Oryzias latipes: one gene and its partners. The protein of the gene in region 4 interacts with the protein of the main gene of each other region in a pairwise test. Links are inferred from orthologs where the notes say so. Each region holds a gene or a part of one and is shown on either strand. Other genes may lie near its edges. The genes, in order: thrombospondin type-1 domain-containing protein 4, nell2, chrd, homeobox protein Hox-A1a, chic2, nov and fbln1.

What was found.
Region 1: the proteins of homeobox protein Hox-A1a (region 4) and thrombospondin type-1 domain-containing protein 4 interact in binary tests that used the Homo sapiens proteins (3 or more experiments, as listed by UniProt). The two-hybrid records come from large-scale screens. The link is inferred for Oryzias latipes from reciprocal best matches to the Homo sapiens genes HOXA1 and ADAMTSL4.
Region 2: the proteins of homeobox protein Hox-A1a (region 4) and nell2 interact in binary tests that used the Homo sapiens proteins (3 or more experiments, as listed by UniProt). The link is inferred for Oryzias latipes from reciprocal best matches to the Homo sapiens genes HOXA1 and NELL2.
Region 3: the proteins of homeobox protein Hox-A1a (region 4) and chrd interact in binary tests that used the Homo sapiens proteins (3 or more experiments, as listed by UniProt). The link is inferred for Oryzias latipes from reciprocal best matches to the Homo sapiens genes HOXA1 and CHRD.
Region 5: the proteins of homeobox protein Hox-A1a (region 4) and chic2 interact in binary tests that used the Homo sapiens proteins (3 or more experiments, as listed by UniProt). The two-hybrid records come from large-scale screens. The link is inferred for Oryzias latipes from reciprocal best matches to the Homo sapiens genes HOXA1 and CHIC2.
Region 6: the proteins of homeobox protein Hox-A1a (region 4) and nov interact in binary tests that used the Homo sapiens proteins (3 or more experiments, as listed by UniProt). The link is inferred for Oryzias latipes from reciprocal best matches to the Homo sapiens genes HOXA1 and CCN3.
Region 7: the proteins of homeobox protein Hox-A1a (region 4) and fbln1 interact in binary tests that used the Homo sapiens proteins (3 or more experiments, as listed by UniProt). The link is inferred for Oryzias latipes from reciprocal best matches to the Homo sapiens genes HOXA1 and FBLN1.

What each region holds. Positions count from the first base shown.
Region 1 is NC_019874.2:19,039,991-19,044,016, reverse strand, and holds part of thrombospondin type-1 domain-containing protein 4, read right to left. Parts: intron 1,490-4,026; coding exon 1,327-1,489; intron 777-1,326; coding exon 495-776; intron 336-494; coding exon 206-335; intron 1-205. UniProt on the Homo sapiens protein: Positive regulation of apoptosis. May facilitate FBN1 microfibril biogenesis.
Region 2 is NC_019864.2:12,486,776-12,490,801, reverse strand, and holds part of nell2 (protein kinase C-binding protein NELL2), read right to left. Parts: intron 3,198-4,026; coding exon 3,004-3,197; intron 1-3,003. UniProt on the Homo sapiens protein: Plays multiple roles in neural tissues, regulates neuronal proliferation, survival, differentiation, polarization, as well as axon guidance and synaptic functions.
Region 3 is NC_019871.2:18,963,118-18,967,143, forward strand, and holds part of chrd (chordin), read right to left. Parts: intron 3,612-4,026; coding exon 3,464-3,611; intron 2,643-3,463; coding exon 2,536-2,642; intron 1,307-2,535; coding exon 1,027-1,306; intron 941-1,026; coding exon 699-940; intron 622-698; coding exon 508-621; intron 340-507; coding exon 148-339; intron 1-147. UniProt on the Homo sapiens protein: Dorsalizing factor. Key developmental protein that dorsalizes early vertebrate embryonic tissues by binding to ventralizing TGF-beta family bone morphogenetic proteins (BMPs) and sequestering them in latent complexes.
Region 4 is NC_019869.2:11,315,328-11,319,951, forward strand, and holds homeobox protein Hox-A1a, read right to left. Parts: upstream 2,872-4,624; 5' UTR 2,396-2,871; coding exon 1,792-2,395; intron 1,388-1,791; coding exon 1,020-1,387; 3' UTR 343-1,019; downstream 1-342. UniProt on the Homo sapiens protein: Sequence-specific transcription factor. Regulates multiple developmental processes including brainstem, inner and outer ear, abducens nerve and cardiovascular development and morphogenesis as well as cognition and behavior.
Region 5 is NC_019859.2:11,115,974-11,120,707, reverse strand, and holds the start of chic2 (cysteine-rich hydrophobic domain-containing protein 2), read right to left. Parts: upstream 3,117-4,734; 5' UTR 2,925-3,116; coding exon 2,794-2,924; intron 652-2,793; coding exon 597-651; intron 481-596; coding exon 325-480; intron 1-324.
Region 6 is NC_019874.2:10,618,802-10,623,463, reverse strand, and holds the start of nov (protein NOV homolog), read left to right. Parts: upstream 1-1,429; 5' UTR 1,430-1,918; coding exon 1,919-2,008; intron 2,009-2,210; coding exon 2,211-2,439; intron 2,440-2,533; coding exon 2,534-2,788; intron 2,789-3,221; coding exon 3,222-3,445; intron 3,446-3,555; coding exon 3,556-3,858; 3' UTR 3,859-4,662. UniProt on the Homo sapiens protein: Immediate-early protein playing a role in various cellular processes including proliferation, adhesion, migration, differentiation and survival. Acts by binding to integrins or membrane receptors such as NOTCH1.
Region 7 is NC_019881.2:6,844,134-6,848,610, forward strand, and holds the start of fbln1 (fibulin-1), read right to left. Parts: upstream 2,962-4,477; 5' UTR 2,148-2,961; coding exon 2,093-2,147; intron 2,008-2,092; coding exon 1,902-2,007; intron 1,131-1,901; coding exon 995-1,130; intron 1-994. Other genes in the region: transcription intermediary factor 1-alpha, read right to left, coding at 4,353-4,477. UniProt on the Homo sapiens protein: Incorporated into fibronectin-containing matrix fibers. May play a role in cell adhesion and migration along protein fibers within the extracellular matrix (ECM).

The DNA of each region.
Region 1 (4,026 bases), on a different chromosome or scaffold from region 4:
TGTATATTTAAAAAAAACTGTGTTCAACTCTGTGTTTCAGCTATAATAAATTGAAATTGTTAATACAAACACTTTTTATAAACTATTTTTGCAGTAAAATAAATGTAGTCACTGCATCTGTGGGAGCAGCAATAATTCAGGAAATGAATGTTTAATATTTTAGGCAGAATGCATTGTTCTTTATGGCTGAATGTGGTTCGCTTACAATGGTGGGCAGGAGTGTGTGTTGCACGGCTCCTCCTCGGGAACAGGCTTGGCTGCAGAGTCACACTTCCTCTCTGGAACCTCTTCATCTGTTTGCCGATTCACACAGATAATGACTCTATGCTGAAAACCTATAAGACACGCACAGAATGGACAAAGCTGTTTTTCTCGTGTTTTTGCACTTACACCCCACAACCAGCGGAGGGAGACATCACATCATGCTAAAAGGCAGACTGAAGTTTATAGTAAGGTGAATATGCAGATATCTTCAGGACTTTTTAGAGGCTGACCTTTGCCACAGGAGGCAGAGCACTGCGTAAGGCCACCTCTCCTCCACACAAACGGCAGCTGAGTGTCTGGGGGCAGGTCAGTGCGAGGAGGGATCCGCGCATTCCTGTTGGGCGCTGATCCTCGTTGCCGCGTCCTCTCAGGTGTCCAGCGGTCTGAAGATGGTTGAGAAAATACAGACGAGGAGGAGGATGAGGAGGAGGGGGAAGAGTGGGAGGGAAAGGAAGGGCCCGAAATAGGAGGAGAAGCAGGAGGTGGGTCCTCTATTGATACAGTCAGGGGACCTGGGAAAACAATAAAAAGACAAACATGGATGGACAAATTAGACAGGACAGGAAGGGCGGGAGGTTGGGAAAGGAACACAAGGAGGAGGGAGGAATGAAAGGTGAAAGAAGGTGTAAATGCAAAAACTGTGAGGACAAGAGGAAGGCAGTGAGTCACAGGCTAATGATGTCATGGTGAGGTCAGGGTCTCATGACAAGCAAATATGTTGAGCAGATAGTCTCCCATCTGGGTCATGGCAAACAAACACACACAAAAACGCTAATAAAAGACTCCCTTCTATGTGGTTCACAACCACACCCATCGTAATCCAAAAAGACGTCAGTTACGCCTCTCTGTCGTGTTTCCTTCAGTAATTAGGAAAGATCATCTCACCTTCAACCCATCCTTTCTTAAACCTGATGGATTTAGGATGGGGCTTGTGTGAATTAGTGATATGCTAAGCACATGCAAACTATAGAATACTGCGCCACTCCTGCACGCAGCCAACTGAGGCTTAAAGGATTTTCTGTCAGTGGGTAGGGAGATCGTACGATCGTAAAGGGGTCTTACTGCGAAGGGGTGCCCTCGCCGTGTCTCGCTCCCGTGGCCTCTCTCTGGGTATCTCCACTGGGGGTTCCCTTTCCCTCTCCGTCAGCTTTTCCTTTTCTGCCTTTTTCTCCACAGGCATGTAAAACTCATAGTCGATGCCCGGGTTGTCTTTGTGGAAAATAACCTGGAGAGAAAACAGACAATACTCATCTTGCAATAAAGAAACCCTTGGGGAAAAACCGCAAGTGTCAGACGTAAGATAGGCTGCAGACTTTGGACCCCTGCCCCTAAGAGGAATTCAGGCGATGATGCAAAGTCTGTCAAGTTAATCTTGTCATGTTGGTGTAAACATAATCAGTAAAAGTTTTGTGCCAACATTTGTTCATTTTAAAGTTAGTAGCTAAATTCTTTGGACAAAAGTTGAAAGAAAGCAGTGTAAGATCCCTGCTCTTGAACTGGATCTGTTATTATTAGGACATAGGCATCCTAATGTGGTTTACAGTGAGCTTAAGCAGATCAGTCTTTATCCATGCATGTTGGTAAAACAAGGCTGCCTGTCTGGGAACCTTTTTACAAAGAGAAAAGATGCAGCAGACGACTTTTGCTACAGTTGTTTGGAAAATTGATTAGATTCAGTAGCATGAAGCTGTGTGGTCACATACAAACCAACTCAGCTGCATCCATGTTTTTATTTGTATTGAAAACAGCAAACCCTTTGTACAAAATTCTAATTTCTTTAAAATCTCAAATGATTAGAATTGTTTCCCATTTACAGCAAAACATTTGTCTTTTTAAAATATAATGTTGTTCTTATCTAAAGATGTTGCTTCATATTTCTAGTGATTTACCATAAAGTATTTTTAGTTTACATCTTTTCATTGCTTTAAGGATGCTAGAGCATCCAGAGCAGCCACATAACATGATGCTTCCACCACCCTGCTTAACAGTTGAAATTTTGATCTGAGGCTAGAAAGAGTTTGTTCAGCACAGCAGATCAGCTTTCACTGATGCACGGATTTGGTTTGGCAGAGACTTTTACACCGGATGCCCTTCCTGACACAATCCTGTATTTTATCCGGGCTAGGACAGGGAGACCCAGACCTGGGCTTCCTTGTGGCTAAATGGTTAGCCAAAAGTGTGAAGGGTCTTGCCTGAGACCTGGGAAACAAACCCTGGCTGTCGATGTGCCAGGCTTAAAAGATTTTCTGTCATTGATAGCATCATACCATTGTAGCTCTTGTTCAATGACAAAAATAAGATTTCCCAATAATGTTGTGTTGGGATTAATTGATTGATTGGTTTATTTCAATCTATTTTGAGGAGGACTGTGTGTTTGAAGGCTTGAAGAAAGACATCCACAGGTTTTTCAGCACTTAACTCAAAAAGGACAATTTCTCCATATGTATTTTTTTTTAACTATGTCATGTTGATCATAATAAAAAAATCTTAAACCTTAATTTTCTCTGAAAATGTTTAAAAAGCTCTAAAAGTCAGAAGCTTTCAGAATTCAAGTTTCAAAGACTATTAAGAGATTTGGAGAGACTAATTCTTGGTTATGATGACTGAAAATTAATTTTGCTGTTTAGTGACAGAATGAGTTGGATGTCATTCACACACTCCAGGCTAAAATGTTCTAATCACTTTGTTGAACAAACGTAGGGCGACTTTTATGTCAAGAGTGAAGGAGAAGAGCAGTGCATTAGACCAAATAGCCAGTGTTCCGCTGTGATGCACTGTGATGAATGGGACCGGCTTTGATCATTTCAGTGTGGCCTGGTGCGGATTTAAACTACCCGGAGGAAAATGAGAAACTTTTTTTTCCGCATCAACAGAGATTTCAATGGATGAGCAGTCATATCGGCCCCTAAAACAAAAGGTTTTTGAAGAAAAAAAAAATCAAAGAACAGGGAGTGAGATAACCACAGAGGATTTTATCTATGCTCCTTTATTGAGTGATGTGTTCACATGACTGAGTTCATGCGAGACATCTCGGAGCAAACATCTTTGGAGCAAACTTAGGACATTACTGATCACGTTAGGAACTCACTTTGATTAAAATAGTGTTTTAAACATTTGTTGTGGATTTTTCTGATGATAAAGGAAGAAAATAAAGCGCAAAATTCCATTTCTGAGCATTTCTTTTTTCAAGTTGTTGTTGATAATGTGCAGCTAAACACATTATATTTGAAAAAGAGCTCCAAGCTCTGAGCAACGGGGAGAAGAATCGGGGGCACTAACAGTCCCGCCTGCAACTCAGAGGTGAATTTCTAATGAACTCCTGCCATTCTGCAGAAACTATGTCCTAGAAAACGACACAGGTTTTTTGATTTTGACTAAAAACGGCATAATCATAATAAAAAAGACCACTGGGAATGCTTTTACAATAGATCAAAAGATAATCGAAGTGGGTCTGTCAGGAAAATGTTTTATTATTTTGATTGCAATTTACCAGATTAACAATTTTGAAACTGGGATCGTATTTTAGTTAAACTAACAATTTTACCAAGATGGTTAGCACATTAAGATTTACAAAAGGTCAGGGATATAGAAAAGTATAACATAACAGGAAATAAAAATAGACAAAAATGGTAATTTGACTTTCTGTATCAAAAATCTGGCTTTAGCCTTTCTTTTCTGGTTTTCAATGTTTTACTTTAATATCCATATTCTATTGCAGATTCCTTCTTTATTTTTATTTTTTTCCAAAGAGAAATTTGCCTG
Region 2 (4,026 bases), on a different chromosome or scaffold from region 4:
TTGTTGTAGCGTGACCTTAAAACGCAATTTATTTTCTAAAACTCTTAAATGTGGGTGAATGACAACAATTTTGCAAAGATGAGTGGGAAAAATTCCTCCATATCTCTTATCAAAAACGCTTGACTGAAAGTGAAAGTTATTAACTTCAAGTGATCATTTTTTTAAACAGAGTCATGGATTTTTCTTTTTTTTCTTGCAAACCCCTTTTTGCAAGAAGGCTTGTTTTCCAAGAGGCTCTTTCCAAATTGTTTAATCTAGTACTGCTTCATCATGGAGGTGTTCCAATTTAAAATCTCCACACCATAAACAAGATCATAGGTTTGAAGGTATTGAGAGCTTGTAGGTCCCTTTTTTTTTGGAAAACATGCAGATTCTTACCACACTTTAGAACTATTTCTCTCATGACGAATTTCCAGTCTAACTGATCCCATTCATGTAAAATGATACAATTCAGCTTCTGCAGCTAAATAAACAACATTTTGAGCTATGTTGACTTAAAAACTCTTGTCTCCTGAGTGATCGCGCTAACCAACTTCCATCGAACAGGCAGCTAAAATTCAACTTTGTGACTAAACAAAAACGTTTGTTGCGTCTGGGCCTTTATATTCTTGGAGGTTTGAGGACCAAAGACATGAATGATACATGAAAATGTAAAGCTGCATTGTGAAGCTTCGTTCACACTGCCCTCGGGAACGCATGTTCAAGGGACCACTTTCAATGAAAAGTCTATGTAATTGCACGTACATGCGCACTTCACAAAACTCTTGCATTCACACACAGGTTTTTACGTTTCGGGCCCTATGTACAAATACGAGCGTCCATTGAACGCACCTCAAGACTTAAATCAGGTCGAACTTTGACCATGGTGTATGAATGGCATCGCTTTCACTTTTGATATTCCCTTTCAAATGATCATAAGGAAGAATTAAACAATTGCGGTTTGTACCCGTAAGGAATTCTATGACACTAAGGCTTTTCATATATCAGAGTAGAACCGTAAAAAAAAAAAAAGCCGGATCAAGATTCACGAGATTTCCAAATTTTGCACCAAACCTCTTCTAGCTGTAGGGGGCGGACATGTGCCAGTATCTGGTAGCATCAGTCGAGTGTGAACACCATATGCTAAACAAGTGTTTTTCAACCAACGTGCCGCGGCACACCAGTGTGCCATGAGAGATGGAGAGGTGTGCCGCAGGAAGTTTTAGGTCACTTATCTAAAAACATTTATCCTGACCAGAATATCAGCTCTATGTTCATCAAAATGGGCTAAGGCTTTACAATGAGTAGTTTGCCGACTTTGTGGAGCTCATTAATACAAATACACCGGATCTTTCAACATCTTCTATTTCTTTCATGAGGAGGGCGAGAAAAACTTTTGACAGTGGCTCCTCCCACACGGTGCAGGAGCGTCCGATTTATAAAGACACTTTTGGACAAACGTCCAGCAGCCACTTTGAGGGTTAAAACAAAAGCAGACGCATATTTGAAACGCAAATCGCCTTTGTTGTGAACAGACAATGGATTTCTGTACTGATCATCGGTGAACCCCTAGTAGCTACCTGCGGGATCCGGTGTCAGATTGTGAAAAGGTGAGTAAAATAATCTTTTTAAAAGAAACAACTGCTTTCTAATATTGAAAAAATCAATTTCAGACTTTAGTCACTATTGAAAAACTTGCAAGTTAAGTTTAAAGATAAGAAACAACAAAATCAAAGAAACAGCAATAAGGTGAAGTGGCCAACAGACACATTTAAACTGAAATGAAACAATTTAATCACACAAAAAAAATTGTTAAAGTTACACTTTTGATTTAGACAGAAGAAAAACTAATAAACTTCAGCGTTTTCACTTTTTATGTAGTTACAATTAAACCAATAGATATGAATATAATGGGGTTTGTTTTTGTATACAATTGATCAAACATGCTGTGATTATATATTTGTTCAAAAATTGCTCTTGCACCAACATAAAGAAATATTCAAAAATAAATACCAGCTTAGAAATAATCTCTTTTTATTTGTTTTTTGTGAAGTTTACACGAAACTGCATTTTAATAAACTGGAGGGAAAAACAACAACCTGGGCAAGTTTTCAACTAATTCTGTTGAAATGTATTATCAAAAACCATTGCAAATTTTAGGAAAAACAGCTGCAACTTCATATTTTTTGTGCCTCAATTATTAAAAAAAATGCATGAGAGATCGTGAAGAGACTGTACATCAACACAGACTGTCACGTTTATATTTTTTTAGGTTGCTGGTGTGTCCTCTGTCACTACACACCAGTTGGGAGGCAAACTTAGTAGTTCAGTATTGTGGATTTGCCACTGAGCACATTTTGCTAAACTTATTTTCCCCACTGGTATTATAAAATATTGATTTGTGCAGCTTTATGAACACACACACACACTACCTACTTAATTATTAACCATGACTGAGTGCAAACTACAATTAACAATTTCAGCTTTCCAGTGAAGCGGTGAATAAAATATGATTTAGTACAAATCCAAGATTTTAAACTTTTTCCCCCTTAAAGGTCAAGGAGGATCACTTTTTCCAAATGACTTAGAGTAACTGAAAACGTATGCTGCCATCGGTCCATTTGGCAATTAGCCTGAAGGTGCCACGGTTTTGCTCATATCTTAATTAATTAAACAGAAAGTAAAGTATCATTCATTCTGCTGGTTTGCTTCATTATTTTTTTAAATGTCACACACTGTCTGGAGAAGAGGAGTGTGCTTGTACAACAGAGGAAGCTGACATTTGTTGCTGATTGGCCCCGTGGGGGACAGCTTCAGTCAAACAGAGCAAGTTTAAACTTGTTTTCCTGCTCTTTGTTTGCACACTTGGAAGATGGAGAAAAAACAAAGCTTGAAAAAAAAAGAAGCTGGATGAAAAGAGTTCTAACAGAAAAAAAACAGTAAAGCATCACTTTAGAATTGTTTTTTGTCTATTTTTTCTATTCTTTTACATTTTTATTTTATTCCCCACCTCACTCTACTTACCTGGCACGAGCACACTGAGCACCTATCATTGTCCAGCACCCAAATCTGCCCACTGTGCTTGACCTTGTTGTCATGGATACAGTCGCCAGTGCAGTTATGCCCGTGGGGGCACCGACAGTCATATCCTCCTTCCAAGTTGAAGCACACTGTGTCATTGGCACAGGTGTTTCTCCCTGTCTTGCATTCATTTATATCTGCAAGGAGCACAACAATCACACAAGTGGGTTTTGCATTTCCTTTTTTTTCCAGTGTGATTACAAATTCATGAGATAAAAATATCGGTAGCAGTCATAAAATATAAGGACACACCACTTCACAAACACTACTGGAACGACAAGGTAGCCCGGAAACCCACTTTTGGTCAAATTATAATCTTATAGCTGTCAGGCAGATTTTTTATCTTTGAAATGTGTTTTTTTTTTCACATTTAGGCTGAAACTAAAAGCAAAGATGAGGTCAGTGAGCGTAAAAGAGCTTCAGCTATTGTTACAAGCATTGCTTCAATGTTGCCTTAGATTGAGGGTTTCCGTTTTGACAGCTTTGACATGCTTTCTGACAGGCTGAATCACACAGAAGATCCCAGAAAAAGAACAGGCTGCAAAGGAGACATTTTTAGTAGGAAGAATACACATACAAAAAAAAAAAACTAGTTCCCTCAAATTCCCATCTTTGGCAACAATTAGTAACCAAATAAATAGTGATTTCTGGCCAAAAGTTGGCATTTCGTTAGCATTTTGTGGACAGAGAAGCACTTTATCGGATCAATATAGCCTTTTTTTGTGAACTAACTAGTATACTATTGGCAAAAATGACCATTTTGTGCACATAAACTAGCACTTTGTGGGCAAAAATTAGCATTTGCCCACCCAAATTAGCAATTTCTCTCAACAAACTAGTATTTTGTTAACAGAAATTCGCATTTGTGCTCACAAATTAGCATTTTCTGCAATTAAATTAGCATTTTGTGCTCACAAGGATGCATTTCGTGAGAACAAACAAACATTCTGTAAGCAGAAATAAGTA
Region 3 (4,026 bases), on a different chromosome or scaffold from region 4:
GAAGACACAACAAAACGACAAATCATGAGTGGTCAAAGTGGTTTTCAAAGAGGAGACATCATTTTCACTTCCTGTGAGTTTGGAGACATTTAGCTCTCCGCGAGACAAGCATGTGTTATTGCATCGTGATCGGCGCCTTGTCTTTACCTGGCAGCTGCAGGAAAAACACGGGTCATAGTTGGGGGTCCAGTTGGAACCGTGAGCATGGTACTGGTTCTCAAAAAAGCAGGTGTGGGGGTCTTTCTTTATCTCCTCAGGGTCCTTCACAAAGAAGTCCCCGAACTCGGCCTCCTCCCCATCTCCTCCAACACCAAACTTGCAGCTGTTCGGGACATGAACCTCAAGAATGGAACAAAAAGAAAAGTTTAGAGACAAAAGCTGTCACAAAGGTTTTGTGGTACATGTTGAATTGACAGCAGGGTTCATGTTTCCTTTTGTGTGTTTTTTTTTATCAGAATCAGTGTAAAGTTGTCGTGAAGGTTTTGCATTTGGCTTTGCTTTACATACTCTTCCTCGTATTTCTCCTTGAGGGTTCATCTTAGTGATGACTTGGATGAAGGCTGTTCCTTGGTCCAGATGTTGCAGCAGTTCAGCGCTGATGTCCTTTAAAACTCCTTGAGCCTGAGGAGTCAATGTAGAATCTTTTGTGTTTCTGTGTTGAGTCTGAACTTATCGTGGTCATCAAACAGGGAACCTACCTGGGAGCCAAAGAAACCTGTCAGCAGCCTCTTGTGTGAAGAGCCGCTGTCCTCCAAATCTCTAATCTCAGCCAGTCCATGGAGGTGGGCGTTCACTGTGCTGTCATCGGTCTTACTGAGACCTGCAACTATTATTTCATAGTGCAAATGGCACTGTTTGTCTACCGACACCCAGGCGTGGCCAGAGGCTCCGGTTCTCACAGGAGGGGACACAAAGTATCCAGCCAGAGGGGTGGGGAGCTCTGAAGGAGACAAAAAAACATATTCAAAGGTGTTTAAACTCATGCAGAAGAAATCTGACATGAAGCAGAGTGACGGCACTACAAACCGTATCTGGGCACATCCAGACCGCTGTATGGCAGTGCCTTGATCTGCCCACGGAGCTCCCCCTCCTGGTAATGTGCCGTGGCCACATTGATGAAGAGCTCGTTCTGCAGCAGCATGTGGATGTATCGAGCCTCCATGGGACTCCAACTGCCCTCTGCCTGACCAGAGGATTTACTGTACTCTGGGGTCAAATCGTAAAGGATGGAGCGCTTGTTTCTGCGCCGGGGCTTCAGCTCAATGGTGAGGCCCAAGACCTCGCTGCTAAGACCCGCCACCTGGACCTGAGGAACAGAATGACATACTGAAGACTGTTTAACCCCCTAAAACCCAAGCTAATACTTGAGCTAACCCTTTACACACATAGTCACAGGGCTCCAGTTAAGAAGAATTAACTACTGCAGCTATTTAACCCAAAATGTGATGTCCATGCATGTGGATGTCAGGTCTTAAGAAGTTAAGCTGAAGTTAAGGCTGAGTAAATCCATGGATGGGTTTCATCATTTCATTGTGATCAAACTTAGGTCTAAAAATAGAAATTTGAAAGGATAAAATAAAGATATTTAGGAGTTTAAAAATTATAGTTCAATAAAATGGAAAAACTTTGGGAAAAGCAGCCTATTTATGGTAGTCTGGTCCTTTTTGATAATTTTGTAGCTTTACAGTTCATTTCAGAGGAATTTCCTCTCTGATCTTGAGTGAAACTGTTCAATAAACATTAACAGATCAACACAGCACGCTGTAAAAAACAAATTAAACCTAATTAAATACAAAAATCACCAGCAAACATAAATTCTGTGAAACAAGTGTCCAAAAAAAGCCTCATGTTTATCATAACAGTCATTTTTTCTTTGGAAATAAAAAAAAATCCTCTTCTTATTGTTCTGTATGTGTTATCATGCATTCGACTCGGATCAATCACTGCTTACTGATAACGTCTGGCTCCAACATTTCGGCGTCGGAATCGCGGACAAATGGCAATTGAATTGACTTATTTTGGCTGGAGCCAAAAGTGTGGCATTTTCCACACTATTGGGAGCATCGGATTATGAGGTGCACCATATATAAATGGTTTATATTTGAAATTATGTATAAGTGTTTGTGGATTTACAACACCTGCAACTCCCAATCTTGTTTGCAACACATAAAAAAAGACTGATGCCACTAAAACAAACATTTGTGAATACACTAACTCCTTACTCTGTTGGTAACACAAAAGGAAAAAAATCTGACACAACAAATATTTTGACAGCGCACTGTGTACCTCTCAAAAATTGTTTAACCCCTGTCCTATCTTGTGTACATCTAGAATGAATCCATGTATAAGGTGCTATGGAACATAAGGTGCACTGTCGTTTTTTGAAAAAAAAAAAAAGGCTTAAAAGGCTTTTAAGCGTGTCTTACAGTGGCGAAAATAAGGTAAGCCATTTTCAGATGTGATGTCACATTCACTCGTTCCAGGTTCCAAATTCAGTCAGTTATCTGCTCTGACAGATCTAGTAGACCTGCTGACCTTATAGTCCAGCGTTCCGTTACTGTGGAGGTTAAAGATGGCAGATCCCACACCTCCCGTCTTCCCTGGTGTCAATGTGTCTCCGCTGGACATCACACTCTGAATAGCTGAGACAAAAGCAGGTTAAGGTCAGAAGCGTGCCCCTCTCTGTTATGATGATGGGGCAGCTCCAGCATGAGGCAAAGACCGTCTTCAAGACATCATCTCCTCAGGTTTATACCTGCAGACTTTTGGGCACAACAATATAAAACTCTCCAAGAGAAAGCTTAAAGATGAGCTAACCCTTTATGAACGGGGAAACCTCAAGGAGGATTGAGATGAGGGGATTGGGGGGGGGGGGGGGGGGGGTAACAGTGGGGGGAGAAGGAAAAATGCAGGATAAAGAAAAGAACTTTGAAAACGTGAAAAGGAACAATGCCAAAACTACACGATGAGAGGAACACATGATGGGATTGAGTTGTGTGCTGGGCTCAGATTCTTTACACATGACGTCGAGCTGTTAATCACCGCTCTGGAAGAGCGGCGAAGAGTCGCGACCAGCACGCTGTGACCCTGACCAGACCCGTGTGTGAGACTTTGCAAATGTTTTGCACACCTGCATTGCTGTGCAGGTTTAAACTGACAGCAAGAATATCTAAGAGACAGGCTGATCTCCTGTTAGAAGATCGTGTGTCTTCATGTTTTCAGACCCGAATGACCACAGCATTCCTCTGCTGTCCGTGTTTGAGTCATAAATGGAGTCCATAAACATGACAAGACAGAATAGAGACAGAAAGTCAGAGTATTTACAGATCAGAAGGACAACCCCCCCCCCCACACACACACACACACAGAAACATAAGCCAACACGGACACAAACCACATCCTCAGGAGCCTCAGAAGTTTCAGGCTTTTAAATTTTATGAAGAAGATCTCCAGAAACACTTACTGTCACAGGACTTTCTGCTGGTGATGAATCCGGAGATCCGCCGGGGGTCTTGACCCTGAGTTTCTATGGTTATCTCCAGCTGACCTCGATATAACAATAACAGTTCCCGGCTGGTTAAGTTGGTCAGTACTTCTGCAAAGTCTGGATCCTGCAGAAGAATTTGACATTAGAAAAACGTTCTCCATAAAAAAAAGCCTTCCTAATGCCAAGGATGAAAACTTGTCTTCAGAAAGTCTGAGCTTGTATTGGTGCAACACTGACCGACAAAACAACCTCTTAAAATTAAAGACAGATGAGAGTTTTCTGTTTTGAGTTTGTTCAAAGCAAAGAGAATCAGCACTAAACAAAGATGACGGCAAGACAAGAGCGTTCAAGACAAACATTTATATTACGTAAGGACACTGAGATGGCCAAATTGTACCTCCAGGCGGGAATTGAGCTGCGTTCACAGATGTAACTCATGAACTTTGATTTGAAGCAGACGGATCGGAGCGGACTTCGAGGACGACTGAGTTATTGGGACAGACGGATGAGGGTGTTAAAGAAATGTAGCTTTTATGACT
Region 4 (4,624 bases):
GCTCCCACCCTTGTCAGTGGCATAACCTGGATGTTTCAATCAATAGAGTTTCTTTTTGTCCCCTCAATATAAGCCGAGAGCTCGATAAGGTTGTCATCACAAATGTCGCTGCTGACACTCGCACTCTCATCTTCCCCGCGGATAAACATGCCTTTATTATGCCAATACCTTTGACCCTTGGGATGGCCGCGCGCACAGCCGCATTCATTGTCAGGCTTGATGCGTAAAACCGACACGTAAAGTTTGTGCGTTTTTCTGCAGACATCTTGTGGGTATTGTGCATAAATTCTAACCCAACATCCCAATACATGTTCCCCCAAAGACGTGACAAGAAAGAAAACATTCAGAGCGAGACGGACTTTAATGCACACGATTGACCCGTAAACGTCTCTCTGGACAAAACAGTTTGCATGTGCATCGCGGGATTGAATATATACAAAGCCTGAAACACTAAAGCTTTGAACGGCCTGTTCCGCAACTGATAAAACTCAGCGCCACTGCAGTCATGACACGTGAAGGCAGCTTGCAAATCTCACAATACATTCAAACAGTCGACACACAGACACCTGAAACAGATAAATAACAGGGGAACCATAACAGTTCACTCACTAAACATTCAAAAACGAGGTATTCTCGTTGATTGTGTGTTGCCTTGGTGATGGCACAGTGCGTTCACACGTGTGATCGGAATGCACAGCTTGGGCACCTTTGAGGTATTCATTTGTCAGCAGATTTTTGATTATAGCAGCAATTGGCAGGTAGAAGTGACACCATCTAACAAAGTTTGGCAAATTTCGAGCCAAATTTAACGCAATGGGGCTTGTTTGGACAGCAGCGCCTTTGTTTTTACAGATACATAATACAATATATAACAGTTCTTGACTCCAGAAATCACAATTGTCCAGGATCCCTAGTGTTTTCCAATTTATGGATGTCTACACAACAAAAACTTCAATACAAGTAAACTTAGGTAAATACAGAACGCTGTGGCCCAGAGAGGAAAGGAGGGCAGTTGGTCCTCAGTTTGAATTGTAGGCATCCGCTCCTGTGGAAGACACCGTGGATGAGGAGGGGGAGGGGGTGGAGGGAGCCGAGATTGACTTCTCAGACGCAGCATCGTTTGTTTTTTCTCCCTGGTCTGAGGTAGAAACTTTAGCTGGCATGAGTCCTTCTTTTTCGCGCTTCTTTTGCTTCATTCTCCGGTTCTGGAACCAAATTTTCACCTGAGTCTCATTCAGCTGCAGCGCAGCTGCGATTTCAACACGGCGAGCCCGAGTCAGGTACTTGTTGAAGTGGAACTCCTTCTCCAGCTCTGTCAGCTGCTTGGTGGTGAAGTTGGTTCGAACAGTGTTCGGCTGACCAGAATATCCATATTCACCAGACCTCCCTGTGGGCAATAAATTCTTCACTTTAAAAACAGACTGGTTGGTTTTCTGTCATCAAACAGAACGTAAACTCTGGAACAATGTCGTCATAACTTCACTTTTACGCAGCGTCTGATAACTTTTACGCATCGATCAGTAGTTATCCTCTTATATTTAATATAACAAATATACAAGTTTTATTATATACTTTAGAGCACATTATTTTCTGAGAATGTAAAGATGTAAACTTTTTCCAGAAGCAAACATTTTAGCTATTAATCTTTCATTAATCTCGTTTACACATTAGTGCGTCCAGTGAAGAAGCATGTTGTAGGCGCCCTTCAGCTCAAAGCTCGGATCATTTAACCCGCTTGTTTTAGACACTACGTATACGTCCATGCACACACAAAAACAAGATAGCACACACCTGTTTTTGGTGGATTCCTCTTAACTTTCATCCAGTCGAAAGTTTGCGCGGCCACTGCTCCCTCGGACAGAGGGGAACAACAAGCTTCCAGGTGTCCGGCGTGCAGAGGGGACAGGGGGTTCGAGGCAACAGGATACGCGGCTGTCTGCTCATGCCCGCCGCCATAGGCAACGTGGGTATACTGCAATTGACCCAGGGGGGCGGCACTGTAACCATGACGATGCTGAGGGACCACGGATGAGGATATGTTACCTGCATACATGAGTGGGCCACACTGAGGAAATGCAGCTGAGTCTACTTCCTGGTTGAGAGTATAATGGTTGTAAGAGGCGCAGAAACTTTGGGGTCCATAGTTGGAGTTGCAGGCCGGATGGGCCCCGCAAGAGAGACCAAGCGAGCCCGCAGTAGACTGGTATGACCCCGAATGAAGAGAGATGCTGTCGGGAGACGTCCTGTTTGACATGAAGTGCTCATCCGCCCCGCAGTTGTTGACAGCAGCCCCGCAGGACTGAAAACTTGTAATCCCGTGGTCCGAGTGGAAGGTTCTGACCGAACACGACCCACTTTCTCCGCTCATCACCGAATAGTCTAAAAAGCTGCTCATTGTAGCATTGTTGTGCCCTGACCGAGGGACTGTCTTCTTTGCAGACACCCCTCTGCTGTCTTGCCGCTCCCCACTCTCACCCTAAGTGATCCTGCCAACTTGTACCTTAACTCAGTTCTTATCAGTAAGGGAAGGAGGGCGCGTGGGGTGATATCAATGAACGGGTGCTGTCACGTGGGCCAGGGTCAGCCAGTAAGGTACTTGTCCTCGTCCACTTAGCCGGTGACAGATTGGTGTTTGAGGGGCTATTTAAATTCCAAGCGCTCGTCGATCAAGGTGACGCGCGCCGCCACTAATGTATGGGCCAAGCAAACAATGAGCTGGGAGTCAGACGGCGGTGGACAGCTCCGGGGTCGCAGGAGGAGCGGGACGCTGCAGACATGCTGTACCGTAACCCCCGCTGCCCGCTCTCCCACAGGGAGAGATTAGCGAGTCACCCTCCGCAGCCTGACATGACGACGGCCCAACACTTTGACCCCAGGTACGGTATTTTTGGAACACAGAGAGATCATTGTCTGCATGCGTGTGTGTTGGAGCGCGTGCACGTTCGTGCCCTCCACGCTTTATAGGCGCGATATCATATAGCCTATAACCGTGTCACCCTCCCTGTAGATGGATGGATGGCTCAGAGTGCGTGTGCCACTGCCATAGGCTATCTGTGGGCTATTAATGTCCCATTCTAATGCGAAATGTTTCACGCTTGAACATTAAGGGATTTTCTCTGCAAATATTGTCACAGTGCGACAGTGAGGGAGAGGCAAGAGGGGTTCCGACTTTCTTCCACTGACAGAAGCCTTCTTGGGCTTTGCATTTTCTGTGCATCTGTTTTAGCATGCACAAGAAAGTGACGTGGCGCTGCACATCTGTTTTGAGCGTGTCACTTCACAGCATGTGGCAGTGAAAAACGACAACCCCGGCCTGAACTTTTTACCCCGACACATCCCGGCTCGCCCCTTGTGGTGACGCAGTAAAATGACGCGCAAAAAAGCAGAATGCGTACAAATAAATAAATGTCAAGAATGATGAAACGGCAAAGACAACACAGGGCTTCAGATTGAGTTGTTATTAGTGTGTTTCTTTCTCCCGTGGTCGCGGGGTCGTCCATTTGCCTGCAATCCTCTGCGTGTTTTCATTATGCATAAATGGTGATCAAATAAAATAACAGGATGAGGTCTGTCCTGGCGCTCCTGATTACACTGCTTCGCGTAAAGCTCGTGGAGATATTAATGGCACCAAAAAGTAATGGGGAAATCTATGAGTGTGAAGAGAAGAGGTCTGGGGGGGGGGGGGGGGGGGGGGCTACTTAGGGCAGTGGTGGCAGATCCCCAACCTCTCGAAAAGGAAGGAGAAGAAAAGGGAGGGAGGCAAAAGAGGGGAGTCACTTGGAAGAACGAGCGCCCCTACAGGCTATAGGAGGTCAAGCAGACTTGATGTTTATTAACATTTCATGGTCAGTAGTTTTCTATAGATACAGACTTCTAAGATGATTCTGAGTTTAATTGAAGTTTTTAGTTTATGCAACCTTATACGTTTTCCCAATGTGTGAGGGCAAAACTTAAAAAATCCCTTTCTGCATAAAACTACTTGCAGTTTTCCCACTTTTTAGACTTTTAAAGTTTTGTTTTAAGATTAACTTTGTTGAAAACTGTAACAACGGTTTGGAGACTTATTTTCTCCAAACTGCTACCCTGACCAGACCATAACCAGACCAGTATCACGGTGCCACATGTTGCTGGTCTGTTAAATGAAGTTGAATTACAACATGGTGATTTTTGTCTCTGAAATAATTCAGAGTTAATAGAAACAACATTTTCTTTTTTCAAGTTTCCAAGAGATACATAAAGTGAGTTTGGTTTGTAGGGAAATAAACTTGCTGCAAAAACAGATCCCTTAGAAAATAAGTGAAAAGTCTTAAAATTTAAAAATTTTTCTTTTAATAAGCAAAGAAATCTGCCATTGAGGTAAGAAAAACTGTCTTAATTAATAACTTTCAACAAAACAGGAAAATTGTTTTTGAAATGAGGACCTTTGAACTTTCTGAAGATTCAGTTTTTTGCAGTGCAGAAGAACTTGCTAACAAAAAAGGGGGGGCGCATTGTGGGTCAGTTCCCCACACCCACCCACCCCTCCCTCCCTTCTCTCAGTTTTCCCAGCTGCCTCTGCAGTGAGTGGGCGCATAGGACCATGCCTTGCCTGCATGTGTAAAAGCGCTTCTCCGGGCTTCAAGGC
Region 5 (4,734 bases), on a different chromosome or scaffold from region 4:
TCTGCTGCAGCAGGAGGAGCGTATTTAACAACGGGTGTATTTTATTTTGAAAGAGACTTACATGTGCTGTTGTCAAAAGTAAAAGGAATTAAAAATGTCACGAACAGAAACATTTGACAGTGTTATAATTCAATAAGTGTAAATATGGAAAAGCTTTATAGTATATATAATAAATGACTAAATGGAGACAGAATGATAAATACAGTGGATTTTTCTAAATGGTGAAGTGGGACTTGCTGTGTTTTGGTCAGTAGGAAACTGGACCAAATGGGTTAAAGACTCCTGGTCTAAACAGATTAGGAGTGTGGCTGTGGGTTTCCTCACCCTTTTGCTGAGGCAAATTACGGGCCACAAACTGAAGCCCAGCGTGCAGCAGCAGCACAGGCAGCCACACAGCAGCCACCGCACGTTCACCGGGAGGGTCTTCCTTAAACAGCTGTTTACTCGATATATACTGGCTTTGAATTCCTCTGGTGCCACCTATGGGGAGTCAAAATTCACATTCAAGCTCATCCACGTTAGCATCTTCCCGTCCCATTTAAACAAAGTTTAAAAGGAAATTAGAGCAAAAATATGACGCAAAATTGATGACTCACCTTTCCTGTTAGCGCTGAGGGAAATTCGGACTCAAATTTGTTACTTAGTCCAAACCTGTGAGACAGAAAGTACAATCAAAATGTATCAATCACACTGCGACCAAGGCTAGAAATGCCCAGGACTCAATTTCCATTGCTTACTACCCCCCTTTGTGACTCAAAAGTATAAATGTGAGAAAATAATGGCAAACGAAACCCGATAAGTGTAACTTTCAAACCGAGAAACGGTGAACTCTTTTCTAAAATATTAACTTCAGTAAGGGATTAAAAAGAGCCATTTAAGCCGTTGTTTACAGTTTTAAACGCAGCGCCTACTACAAAGACTCTCACATAAAATTGAAAATCCCACACGCACTACTTAAGACACCCATACAACAAACACACACTACTACTAACACAACAGCTCTCACACTGCTACTAATGCCTGTAAACGGTGGTTGTCACATTCTGGTACAATTATTTACACACTCCAGAAGAAATGCTCAGAAGGTGTGGAAATAGTTTAACAATAATAATAATTATGTACATTCATAGATTTGGGGTCGGTCGGTCGTACCGGTTCTGCACTTAATTCTTTATAACCGTTCATCATAACCATTATTATTTATTAAAGCCCCTCTCTGCTGAAAGTTCTGTTTTTAGTGTTTTTTAACATGTTTTTGCGGCACTTTATTCATGATGGAGGACATATATAAAAAAAATTAAGATTAGATTTGCATTTCTGAGTATTTCTTTATTCAATTTGTTGTGAATCAGGAGCAGACGAAAAAATGCCATTTGAAAAAGCCTGTAGCTTTGACCTATAGCTACAGTTAGCCGTTAACAAGCTCCCTGCTTAACTCCATGATGCATCCACTTGCAGACGACTAGATCCATGCAAGTCTTTGTTTTCTTCTTCTGAGCTGGTATCTGGTTCTAAACTATACAGCTGGATAGCTTCAATATTGCTTGCCAATTTTGTTGGACCAGAAATGTTAGGTTGGTATTGTGAGGGACTGTAAGCTAGAATGCAAGAGTGTAGACAAAGGGATGATGGGAAATTGGGTCATGCCAACAATCACACCCACAGATCGGAGACAAATTTCTAAAATGTCCTAGAAAACAAAGGTTTTTGTTGTTGTCTAAAAATGGCATAATCATTACTAAAAGACCACTGGGAACGCTTTTAGAATATATAAAAAATAATTTGAGTGGGACTAACCATTATAACTATATCTATTAATGACATATATTTAGATCACATTTTAAAACCATCAAAACTGTGTGGTTTTCTTATTTCTGAAGTGTCATTTACACAAGACACTTTGTTTTCCATTTGTGTGCCAATGCAGCAGTATGTTTGTTGTTAAGCATATAATCAAGAAGTCTAAAAATATATAGATATTCATGGGAAAACGGATGTTTTCTGAAGAAAAATAAACAATGTCTTTGATTTCCTAATCTGACAATGTTCCTAAAATTTCCTTTTAAAAAATGATTTTAGCTGTCCTCTATAGGAAGCCATTTTTCAATAAATCTAATGACCCATACATAATCCACACTTCGTCTGCCATTATCACTTACATATAACCTAAATGCTAATATTTTAGTTCTTTCCATTCAGCAAGCTTTTCCAATGTCTTACTTTTCAGAGCATGTCTTACTAGTTAGCAACCTTTTGTTGTTTAAATTGGTAACAGGACTAAAAATATTTCAATCCAACAGGAAATGTTGTATTTTGACTCAACAGTTTAGGACTATGTTCTGAATATAAACACAAATGTTAGATTTTCTGTTAGCCATGGCCTTATTAAAAACTGCATATTGCAAAAGACTTCTCTCTTTAATCAAATGTTCAATGTTATTGTTGTACATTTTGCTAGCTAGTAAGTAAACACAAACATATGACAAGTATTTTCTAAAGTTTCACAATTTTCAGCAACTGACTTGACAGTGCCTGAAATAAACTATTCTTATTTTGTGTGATAAATTCAAAATGTTTTACAAACTATCAAATGGACTTTTTCGAAGCTAAATCGACATATTTTGGCTAATAGTCGCTTAATTATGTTAGCTTAACAATTTAGCTGTATTAGCTAGCGGCTAACACAGTTAGCACTTACTTTTCTAGATAAAAGCCGCGGCTACAAATCGCCACACGACAACAATAAAGAAAAAAAATGTCCTCACGACCACCAACAGTTAGGCCGGTTCTTACACAGTGACGTGGCCAGATCCTCGTACCACCACCGGGTCCGGAGCGTACTTGAGAAGCTGTTCCTCTGCGGCCCTGTCCTCGTCCTCTTCTTCCTCCTCTTCTTCGTATATCTCATCAAAGTCCTCCATCATCGCACGGCTCAGCCTCGCACTTCCCGGTAAAGACACCGGGAGAGACACGGCTGGGACGAGCAGTGAAAGCTAACCGGGGAAAAACACGAGCGATCAGAAAGCAAAGTCATAAAACAGAGAGTGGTTCACATCGTTACGCGAGCTCCGAAACGAAACATCAACATCCGCCGCAGTAACCGTACGACACCGGAAGAGGGACGGGCGAATCTTTACGTCGATTTATCTGTTTTAGATTGGATTTTTTTTCTTCTTTTCTTTTTTTAATCTTTAATATGAAAAAAAAAAATCAGATTAAAATTTAGTAAAAAGTCGTACCATTAAACAATTACACTTTTTTTAATCCATGGAGAGAATTTTCGTTTACCTAAATCATCTTTTTAGCCTTTTCACCGTTTTAACATTACCATCAAGTGTATATGTTGTGGAGAAAGGTATTTCTCCAGAATCTATAGATAAAATAATAAATAAATAAATAAATAAATAAATAAATAAACTTTTTTTCACATTTTTATTTTACTTAAAATGGAGTTCAATTGTGCACTGGTTTAAGCACGAAAACGTCAAGAATATATGCATAAAAAATTGATTTCAGTAATTGTTCATAAAAAAAACAGGCTCAGCCTTTTCAGGAAATATTTTTAACTCTGCGTCCAATATAGAGAGAAATTAGACTCAGGCGGATTTGTGCGTGCGTAATTCTTTATTTGTGCGTAAATTCAGATTTGTGTGTGCGTAATTCTTTATTTGTGCGTAAATTAGAATTTGTGTATGCATATTCTTGCTTTGTGCGTTTGTAAATTAGGATTTGTGCATAAATTTGGATTTGTGCGTGATTTGTTACTCACATAATACGTTTTGTGTCTTTCTTCTTTCTCTTTCGGCTTTTCCCATCAGGGGTCGCCACAGCGAATCATCCTTTTCCACCTCACTCTATCATGGACATCTTCTACCCTAACATTAGCCAACTTCATGTCCTCTGTTAAGACATCCATATATCTCCTCTTTGGCCGTCCTCTTGCCCTCCTGCCAGGCAGCTCCATCTCCAACATCCTTCTACCAATATATCCACTATCCCTCCTCTGAACATGTCCAAACCATCTCAGTCTGGCTTCTCTGACTTTGTCGCTAACACAGGCAACATGAGCCGTCCCTCTGATGTACTCGTTCCTTATCCTGTCTAACCTGGTCACTCCTAAGGAGAACCTCAACATCTTCATCTCTGCTACCTCCATCTCAGCCTCTTGTCTCTGTCTCACTGCTACCGTCTCTAACCCATAGAGCAGAGCTTGTCTCACCACTGTCTTGTACACCTTTCCTTTGAGTCTTGCTGACACTCTTCTGTCACACAACACTCCTGACACTTTCCTCCACCCGCTCCAACCTGCCTGCACTCGCCTCTTCACCTCTTTTCCACACTCCCCATCACACTGAACTGTTGACCCCAAGTACTTAAACTCCTGCACCTTTTTCACCTCAGCCCCCTGTAACCTAACGCTTCTACCTTGATCCCTCTCGTTCAGACACATGTATTCTGTCTTACTACGACTGACCTTCATGCCTCTTCTTTCCAGAGCAAACCTCCACCTCTGTAGCTGTTCCTCCACCTGCTCTCTACTCTCACTGCAAATTACAATGTCATCCGCAAACATCATCGTCCAGGGAGATTCCTGTCTTACCTCGTCTGTCAGCCTGTCCATCAGCATAGCAAACAAAAAAGGACTCAAAGCTGATCCTTGGTGTAGTCCCACCTCCACCTTGAACTCCTCTGTCTGACCTACAGCACATCTCACCACCGTCATACTTCTCTCAT
Region 6 (4,662 bases), on a different chromosome or scaffold from region 4:
CCGGCTGCCGCTGCTGCTGCGGCGGGGGTCTGGGTGTGGGGGTGGCTGGGCGCTCCTCCTCTTTCTTTTCTCATTCCACCATCCATTTTAGAAGAACATAAACACTCACCTGAACACAGGTGTTAGCTCACCTTTGCACTAATAGTTTGTATGATTGAATGAATGAAAGATTTTACACTAGTTGGTTTAAAGGCATAGGTATGTGTTTGTGAACACTATCTGTTTTGTGTGCATGTTGACATGTGGACATTTTTGCAGCTAGCAGGTGTGTTGATAACATTTCAGTGTGTGTGGACAGGCCCCGCCCTTTTTGTACTACATTTGAACCGTACCGTAATGATAAACAACCAGTAAACCTGTCTGCTCTATGCTGCTTCATGGTCTTACCCCCCCCTCTCACTATCACCCCCCCCCCTCTCTAACATCCCTCTCTCTTCTTCCCTTCTTTCCTTTTCGTCCGGTCCAACACAAAAGATTTTCAAACATGGTTGAAATTAATAAAGTTTGGCCTCAATTACAAAAGGGGTTTATTCAGACATACCTTTGGTTTGTCTGAAGATTAATAACCCCTCTTGTTAAAGTAAAATATGTCCAACACAAGAGGCCCTCAGCTCTCATCTGCCTGCCTAGCTGCTGGACAGGACAAGTTTAAAAAAAAAAAATGTCTGCAGAGACACTTATCTACGTTTAATGTTGACAATGTCATTATCTTAACCAGCCTGGTTTGTTTTCCTAGTTGTGTTCTGTATTTGTAAAAAAGTATAATGTCTCTTTTATGTCTGTGCATGCACAATCCTGTAATATGTGTTAAACTAGTTAACTAGTTAATAAGGGCTGTAATTGGATATTTTTTTCTAAATAAATGATTGAATAGGTCCTTGGGGAAAACCCTTCACCCTACTGTCTAACTATGTAGCCACAGGGGGGCCTAAGTCTGGGTCACCCTGTGCCTGTCCCCAACCAGGATAAAATACAGGGTTGTGTCAGGAAGGGCTTCTGGCGTAAAAAATCTCTTTTACATCACCTGTGTAAATCAGTGAAAGCTGATTTGCTGTGGCTACCCCTAAAGGGATTTGCTGAAAGGCGAACAACACTTCATTAACTCATTAGCCCTTTTTAAACAATAAACATAAGTTATGATCAACATAAAAGCACCCATTAAAGACATTAATGTGCATAAAAACTTTACATCTGTATTTATAGTTTCGGTTATGTTGTCGCTGTCAGTTTAACCATAAGTCTCTTTAGCCTAATCCCAGACTGAAATTGAACTTTGAACCTTTTACATCGCTTTAGTTTCCCTTACAATGTGACCAAACACTTTTGCTCAGATGAGCTTTTACCAGATGTGTCCACAGCAGTGTGCCACCAACGCAACACTCACAGTGTTTTGGATCACATATGGCCCAAAGTTTCCACTGTGCAGCTATTTCAAGAAAACTAAACAAGTCTGCAGGGAATAAAATGGGTTTTCCATTGTGACCTCCCAGGTAGAATTTGGAAAGGCAGGTCAAAGAGGGTAAATGAGGGAATTCAGCAGGATGCATGTAATGAAAACAGCAGCAGAAGGAATCTTCAAACAGAGAGTCCAGGCTTGAGAGGAACATAGTGATGTTTGAGGGGAAAAAAATATGAAATAGTACAGAGATTCTGCTCAACGCGGCGGATGCTTGTCATGGTCATGGTAGGCTCTTTGAAAAGATTTTGCAATGAAATGTGACTCTGTCCATCATCAATCTTTTCCAAAATTCCTTCTGTTTGGTTGTCAAGGTGCCAGGGGTAAAGCTCGCCCATATATAAGGTCTCCACCTCACAGGCTGAGCCTTAGAATGACAAAGAGAGAACATCCTTCTGCTGAGAGAAGCCTAGACCCACGAGCTTCAGTTTAGTAAACTGCAGACAGCATAACATTTTTCTGATGCTGCAGATTTTTGATTGTGTGTTGCACAGGAAGAAGATGCACCATTGGTTGCACAGAAATGTCCTTTTCAACTTTGTGATAGCACAGGTAAGCCTTAGTGTTCTTGTAAAACTGTTTTACACATTTATTTACTGCTATTACCTGTTTTCTGTTCTATAATTTCACAAATCCCTTTTTTTTAATGTTATGTTTTTTTTTACTTATTATTGTAGCACATAATCCCACTTAGACTTGAAGTCAATGTAAGATTTACAGATATATCAAAGAAGCCTCTTGTTTTTTCTTCCAGGTTTTCACTCTGGCCTGCTCCCAGGTGTGTCCACGGAGATGCCAGTGTCCTGAAGAACCCCCCATGTGCCCTCCAGGCGTGCCTTTGATCTTGGACGACTGTGCCTGCTGCCTGGTGTGCGCCGCTCAAAAAGGACAGGTCTGCTCTGAGATGAAACCCTGCGACACGCGGAAAGGGTTACAATGTGACTACTCTGTTAACACCCACAAAAGGACTGGTGTCTGTGCTGGTGAGTTTTCAGCACCTGGAGCCTCATCTTCTTAACATTTGTAACTCCTTTCTCCTGGTAACACCTTTTCGTGTGCTGGGTTTCTTCCCTACAGTTAACGCGGGTAATGCCTGTGTGTTGGATGGTTCTGTGTATCAAAACGGACAGACCTTCTTCCCCAGCTGTAAATACCAGTGCATGTGCCATGACGGGCAGATTGCTTGTGTGCCACGATGCAACCTGGACATCATGCTGCCTGGTCCAGACTGCCCCATGCCACGCAGGGTCCATGTTCCTGGAGAGTGTTGTGAGAAGTGGGTGTGTGGCTTGCGGGCAGAGGCCAGTGCACTGGGCAGCCTGGCCATGGCAGGTGAGTGACCAGATTGTCCATGTTGTCCTTCATTATTCACAAACATGGAGGACTTTAACAATCTGCACTGTAAAATCTGAATCTTAAGAAATTAGAGACTTGTTTCGAGAAGAATTTCCTTAGATTTTGTCTTGCAAGAAAAATAATCTCATCAAGAAAAAGTTTTTAAATAGCAAAGTAACCTTAGTTTAAGAAAACATGTCTTAGTAACTAGATTTTTTTCTTAAAATAAGAATTCTTGATTGGACCATTTTTCCCACTTCATTGCCAGATTTATTTATTTATTTTCTTTTTTAAAGAGTGCAAATTTTTTATTCATTTCTAGGAGGCCTTTTGTTTCAGTGTGCATAGGAGCTGCATAACTGCCTAAAGTAGTATGAAAGTTTTAAGAGCTTCTTTTTCCATCAGTACGTTTGTGTTTGTGTATATTCAGCGTTTCGTCAAGAAGAAACCGTGAGCTTAAACAGTTGGGACCCCAGCCTGAACTGCATTGTGCAGACCACAGAGTGGGGGGCATGCTCTGAGACGTGTGGCATGGGGGTGTCCACCAGGGTTACGAACAAGAACGATAACTGTGAGATGGTGAAGCAGAGCCGGCTTTGTATGATCAGACCATGTGAGGGCCTGCAGGAACAGCTGACACAACTTCCACCATCGGTACTCTTCTCAGAGGAGAAATCTCTTACCTTTTGTGATTTTTTAATATTTTATGACTACATTGCCCATTATACTGCATAATAATTACACAACTGTGTCTTTTTAACCAGCAAAGGGGTGCGAGGTGCCAGAGGACGGTGAGGAGGGACAAAGCCATTCATCTGACTTATAAGAACTGCACCAGCGTGCAGGCCTACAAGCCTCGCTTCTGTGGTTTCTGCACAGACAGCCGCTGCTGTACCCCCCACAGAACCAAAACCGCACTGGTGGAGTTCCAGTGTGCTGAGGGAAAGACCACCAGGAGACCAGTCATGGTGATCCTGACATGTGTCTGCCACAGCCACTGTCCCAGAGACAACGCTGCATGGCAGTCATCAGAGACTGGTCACACTGGAGTCAAACTGTGGGCATAGTGTATTATATATATGACAAAAACAGCAAACGATGACACAATCAAAACTGATTCAAGACTATTTGTGCTCATAAAAATATTTGATTTTATAAAATCTGTATCTTTATTGGAACTTGAACGACTTGATCTCTCCTGGAGAGAGATTCAATGGTTAGATCATGTGATCAAGTTATTTTCTTATTTTACTAGTGTTGAGTCCAATGCAAGCACTTAAACGTGGTTCCGTATGCAGCTGCAACTGGTCTGCAAGTTCTTTACAATATTTTAAGACAACTTCTGTTTAAGAAGTTAAAATTAAAAAAAAAAAAAAACCAGAAAATCAACAGATTCAAGTTAGATAAAAGTGTAATTTATTAATAACTAAAACAAATAACCAAACAGGTTGGTATAGAAAGAAGTTATGACTAATTCAAAATGGTGGCAATTCAACCAGCACCTATAAAGGGCCGATCTCATGCAAAATCAATTTTTTTAAGTGACTTATAATGTTCATTCCTCACAAAAAGAAACCCCAAAGCGGTATTTTGATCTATTCACGCATTTCTGAGTATTCCTCTAAAACCCCCAGCTCTGAGCACCAGCCCCTCCCAACCCTCGAAAACGAGTGGGTTTTCACATTGTGACATCACAAAGCGAGGAATAGCCCCTTCCAGCAAGAGTCAGTGCTGCCAGCCCCGCCCCCAGGCTAACGCACACACCCACTTTTTCAGCGGAGCTAGTGGTGTTTGGCTAAAATGCTTTCCTTTTATAAGCACATTATTCACATCCATATTTGCAAAAGTTTGGATGTTGTTTGTTTTGTGGG
Region 7 (4,477 bases), on a different chromosome or scaffold from region 4:
CCAAATGGAGACAATTCATTCACGTTTTTTTTGTTGTTGTTTTTTTTCAATGCGGAGGCTGCCATGTTGGAGCCCGACGACGTCAGTCAGTAATGATTGGTCCGAGTCGCTCTGAGTCAACGTTCCTTTGACAATCACCATCTCGCCAAAGCAGGAGTGGGCTTGTTGAAAAGCCCACACCCCCCAACGCTTTAAAGCAGGCAACACGGAATCTGTCACTCAAACATTTCAAATGTGAGATGGCGCATTCATTCTGGTTGTGTTCAATAATGTTGAAGTGATTTTAAGAAGTGCACGGCACTCGGTCAAAATGTCTGTCTGTTGTTATGTTTTTTTGAGTCGCAAACAAGGTCGGGTGTTATTGGAAATATGTCAACGCGGCTAACATGTAGCCGGACTGTGTTGTTTTTTTTACGTGTTGCTAACAAGGTTAGCAGCAATGCTTGTTTTAGCGGTATCAGTCTGTATTTTTACAAGTTGCAAACAGGGTTGGGAGTTACAGGTATTCTAAATATGCTAATGTGGCTAACGTGTAATAAGTTCTAGAGTTACTGTGAATGCAGTTAATACAGTCTGATCAACTGACAGACTTATCTATGACTCTTTTGTCTCGATAATCCGCCTTATATATATAGATGACGTGTTCAAAAATAGACCTTTCATTGACGGTGCTCTTTATAATCCTATGTGCTCTATGGTGCAGAAAATAAGGTATTTTTTATTGAGGCATCTGATTGGTCAGTTTATAACTTGAATAATATACAGAAAACAAAATTAAGATTAGCAAGATTGTGTTAAAAAAGGTATCAGAGCAAGAATTATTATTCTGAGTAATATAACAACTGACTAATAGCTGTTTATTTCTCTATGGAAGTCTACAGGACTTTGGCTTCTTGGAACTGGTGGGTACTTCCTGTTTGGACCGTGAGGGGATAGGAGTCTCTCAGTCCAGTTCTCGTTTACAGTCAGTCGTCCAGGTGAGCTCATAGCTAACCTGTGATATCAGGGTTTGCCAATCGAATCCACTGAAGAATGCCCTCTCGCAAGCCCCCTGCCCCCGGGCCGTCTTGATGCCACCTTTGCAGGCCATTTCCCCCGCCGATGCTCGACAGCACTGTTCGTGAATGATGCTGGAAAGTCAAGTTAAACTATAAAGTCACACTCCGATCATCTTTTGATCCATTTTAAAAGCGTTCCCATGGCGTTTCTTATTTGTAGATTGTTTTTAGCCAAAAAACAAAAACAAAAAAACTGTGCTGTTTTCTAAGACAGTTTCTGCAGAGGAGCAGTAGTTCATTAGTGATTCACCTGTTGGCACCAAATGAGCCTGCTTTCATTTCCCATCATCCCTTTGTTTACATGCTCCCCAGCTAGTTTAAAGCCCCTGACATCCTCAACTTAACATTAGCTGGGCAACAAAAACTGGTGATCAATGTCAGAGTTGTCCAGCTGTACAGTTTTGAGCCAGATTCCAGCTCAGACGAGGAAAACAAAGACGTACATGGATCTAGTTGTCTACAAGTGGATGCATCAGAATGGAGGGGAGCAGGGAGTTTCCACACACCTACAAGATTTTTCAATTGAAAAGTTTCATCTGCTCCTGACTCACAACGATTTGAATTAAGACATATTCAGAAAGGCAATTTTAAGTTCAATGTTTTTACATATGTCCTCCATCTCGAGAAAAAACACAAGAAGAAACAACACAATTTTCATGGAAGTGGGTCTTTAAAATACGCCCTGCTGGTATTTGCCGCTGACCCTCCAAAACGTCTGTGGCCTTAGGGGGGAATTTTTTCACCTGCCTCTAATTTTGCACAATTTTGACTTTAATTGAATGTTTGAGAAAACTTGAGAAAGCCCATGTGATGACCCCCCCCCCCAAACCAGGTGTTGCTTACCTGCACATAGCAGAGGTGAGGACCTTCTGAGCTGCACAGTCATGTTCCCTAATGGCAGTCGCCCTCCCAAGATTACAGCACCCCTCCACAGACAGCAGCTTGTTTTCTGCATTTTAGTAAGCAGGTCCAAACAATGAGATATTTAAAGATCGTGGTGTGAAAGTTCATCTCTAAAACAGGGGGAAACTCACCTTCCCAGCCCAGAATTCCTCCAACAGAAAGGAGGAGAATGATCCTCAGCGCCATGGGGGCTCGCTCTGCTCAGACGGCAGGAGAATCAGCGGAGTCCTGCGGGACGGAGCACATCCCAGTTCGGCCTCGTGAGGGTTTGAGTGGGTGGAGAGGGCGGGGAGATGCAGGCTCTCTGTCAGGGACGCAGAATGATTAAGACGCGGCTGATAATGGGATTTGTTTTAATGCGCGACGGCGGGCGCTTCTTACTGAAACAAAGTACAGTTTGCCTCTCATAAATTCCAGAAAAACCTGGATTAGTTTTAATAACTGATCACCAAATAGGAAAGTTTAATAAAAGCGCTCAAGATAAAGGTTTTTCGCCCTTTTTTACACATTTTGGTTTTGGCATTATCTGCAAAAAGTCAATACCTATAACACTACTATTTATCATTAATAACCCATGCAATCTTTCGTGGAGACAGAATCACAGTGTTTCCAATGTTGACATTTGTCCTACATAAATGAACAAATTGTCACTATTTTACAGTAGCTTAAATTATTCAAATAATACTGAACATTTTTTGTTTTTGAATCCCTAATTAGTAATAGCATACCCAATACAGCGCTACATTTCTGATACTAATCAATCATGCGCGCGTGACTCTTTACCGGGACGCATCAAGTTTGAGGTTTATCAGTTTAGTTATTTAAAACGTTACTCTTCAGACTATATTCACTGAAATAAAAATGTCTCCGAATAATTAGTAAAATCCTTAAAAAACAAACAGATTTTGAAGTTCTTCTTGTTGTTAAGCCAGTCCGTGAGCAAGAAGAGACAAAATGGGTTATAAACAAATGGTCCAGTCCAACTCAGAATACTCGTTGGAATGTCAAAATCCATCCATCTTCTTCCGCTCGCATTTCAAAATAAGGCAGAAAATTAGATTTGAAGATAGTTTTAAATCCTGAAGTGAAGGAGGGATTAAAAAAACACAGTGTGAAATTAACGTTTAAACAAACAGACATTAAAGCTTTATAAAGATCTAAAAAGACGTTTACGTTTTGTTAAGTGTTTCCCCTCTGCAATGATGAAATACATCTTGATTTATCTTTAGGAAGACCATTTGAACCAACACAAATGTAAAAGAAATGGAAGTGAAAAGAGATAAAAAGATTGACTATGGCGTTTTACTGTATGTGTAAAAAAATACATATAAACCCAGACAGTAAACAGCATATTTTTCTTTCATCAATGGAGATTTGTGCTTTCTAAATGTACTATTTTATTCATTTTAAATGATTTTCTATTGTAACTGGGTAGCTATAATGGGTTAATGGCTCAATTCGTACAGGCAAAACTAGAGGAAATGACAATTTTATGCTGGTTTACACTTTAGGTAAAGTGTAAAGTTAAAGAAAATGATTTTACACTTTAGGTACAAAAAAAAACTATTACCAATGGAAAACAGGACAATCCTTGCAATGTATGAACTAAGACAAACTGTTGAGAGAGAAAAAATTCACATATAAAAACATGACAAACATGTTTATTATAAACATTGTAAATTCTGGGGATCTTTTTTCATCATTTCAAGAGTTCATTTACAGGCGAATTTTCACTAAAAATATTTTCTGTACCATTGATTCTTTTCTTTTTAACCATCCCCAGCTTTTAAACGCCTTTACACATGACCTGGCGGGCGGGCGGGCAAGGACAAAAGCTGGGAAACAGATGAAAAAGTGGATTATCTTTTTCTGCATTGTCTGCCGATGATAAGACGTTATTAAAATCTGAACAAGTGCTGTTTGTAGCGGCTTGTGTGTGGGTGTATTTACGGCACTTCACATTAAAACAGTCTGCAGTGCTTCCTGGGCAGAGAAACCAATCAAAATAAAGCACGATAAAGAAACAAACCCATAAAAATGACTAGAATGTTTTTTAAAAAAATTCATAAACACAAAAAAATGCTAATAACATAGGTAATAATATTGCATGCAATACTGAATCAAAAACAGTTTTGTTCTGATTTTAACTGCAGAATTAGCACATATTATGTACAACAGTAAGCTAAAACTTAAATACGTATCCATCTGTGCGTTTTTCAGTCACATAAAGATAAATGATGGGTTTCTTCTCCATGTTGCAGCTGCGGTTCAGTGTCGCTGTAAATACAGACACTAATGTGATGCAAAAACGGTCATTGCAGGAAATGTAGGGGACTGCGGAAGACTGAAATCATCCATGTTTTTTTCCGCCTCTGCTTAAGAGTGACCAGTTTAGTCTTTCTCCTCCACGGTTTCAACTGTAGAAGCTGAGTTCTCCTGGGTTTCAGGAGGTTCGTCTATAGGAAGCTGCGGGATCTCCTCTTTAAGAAAGCCTGATGCTTCCCTGTCAGTTTCAG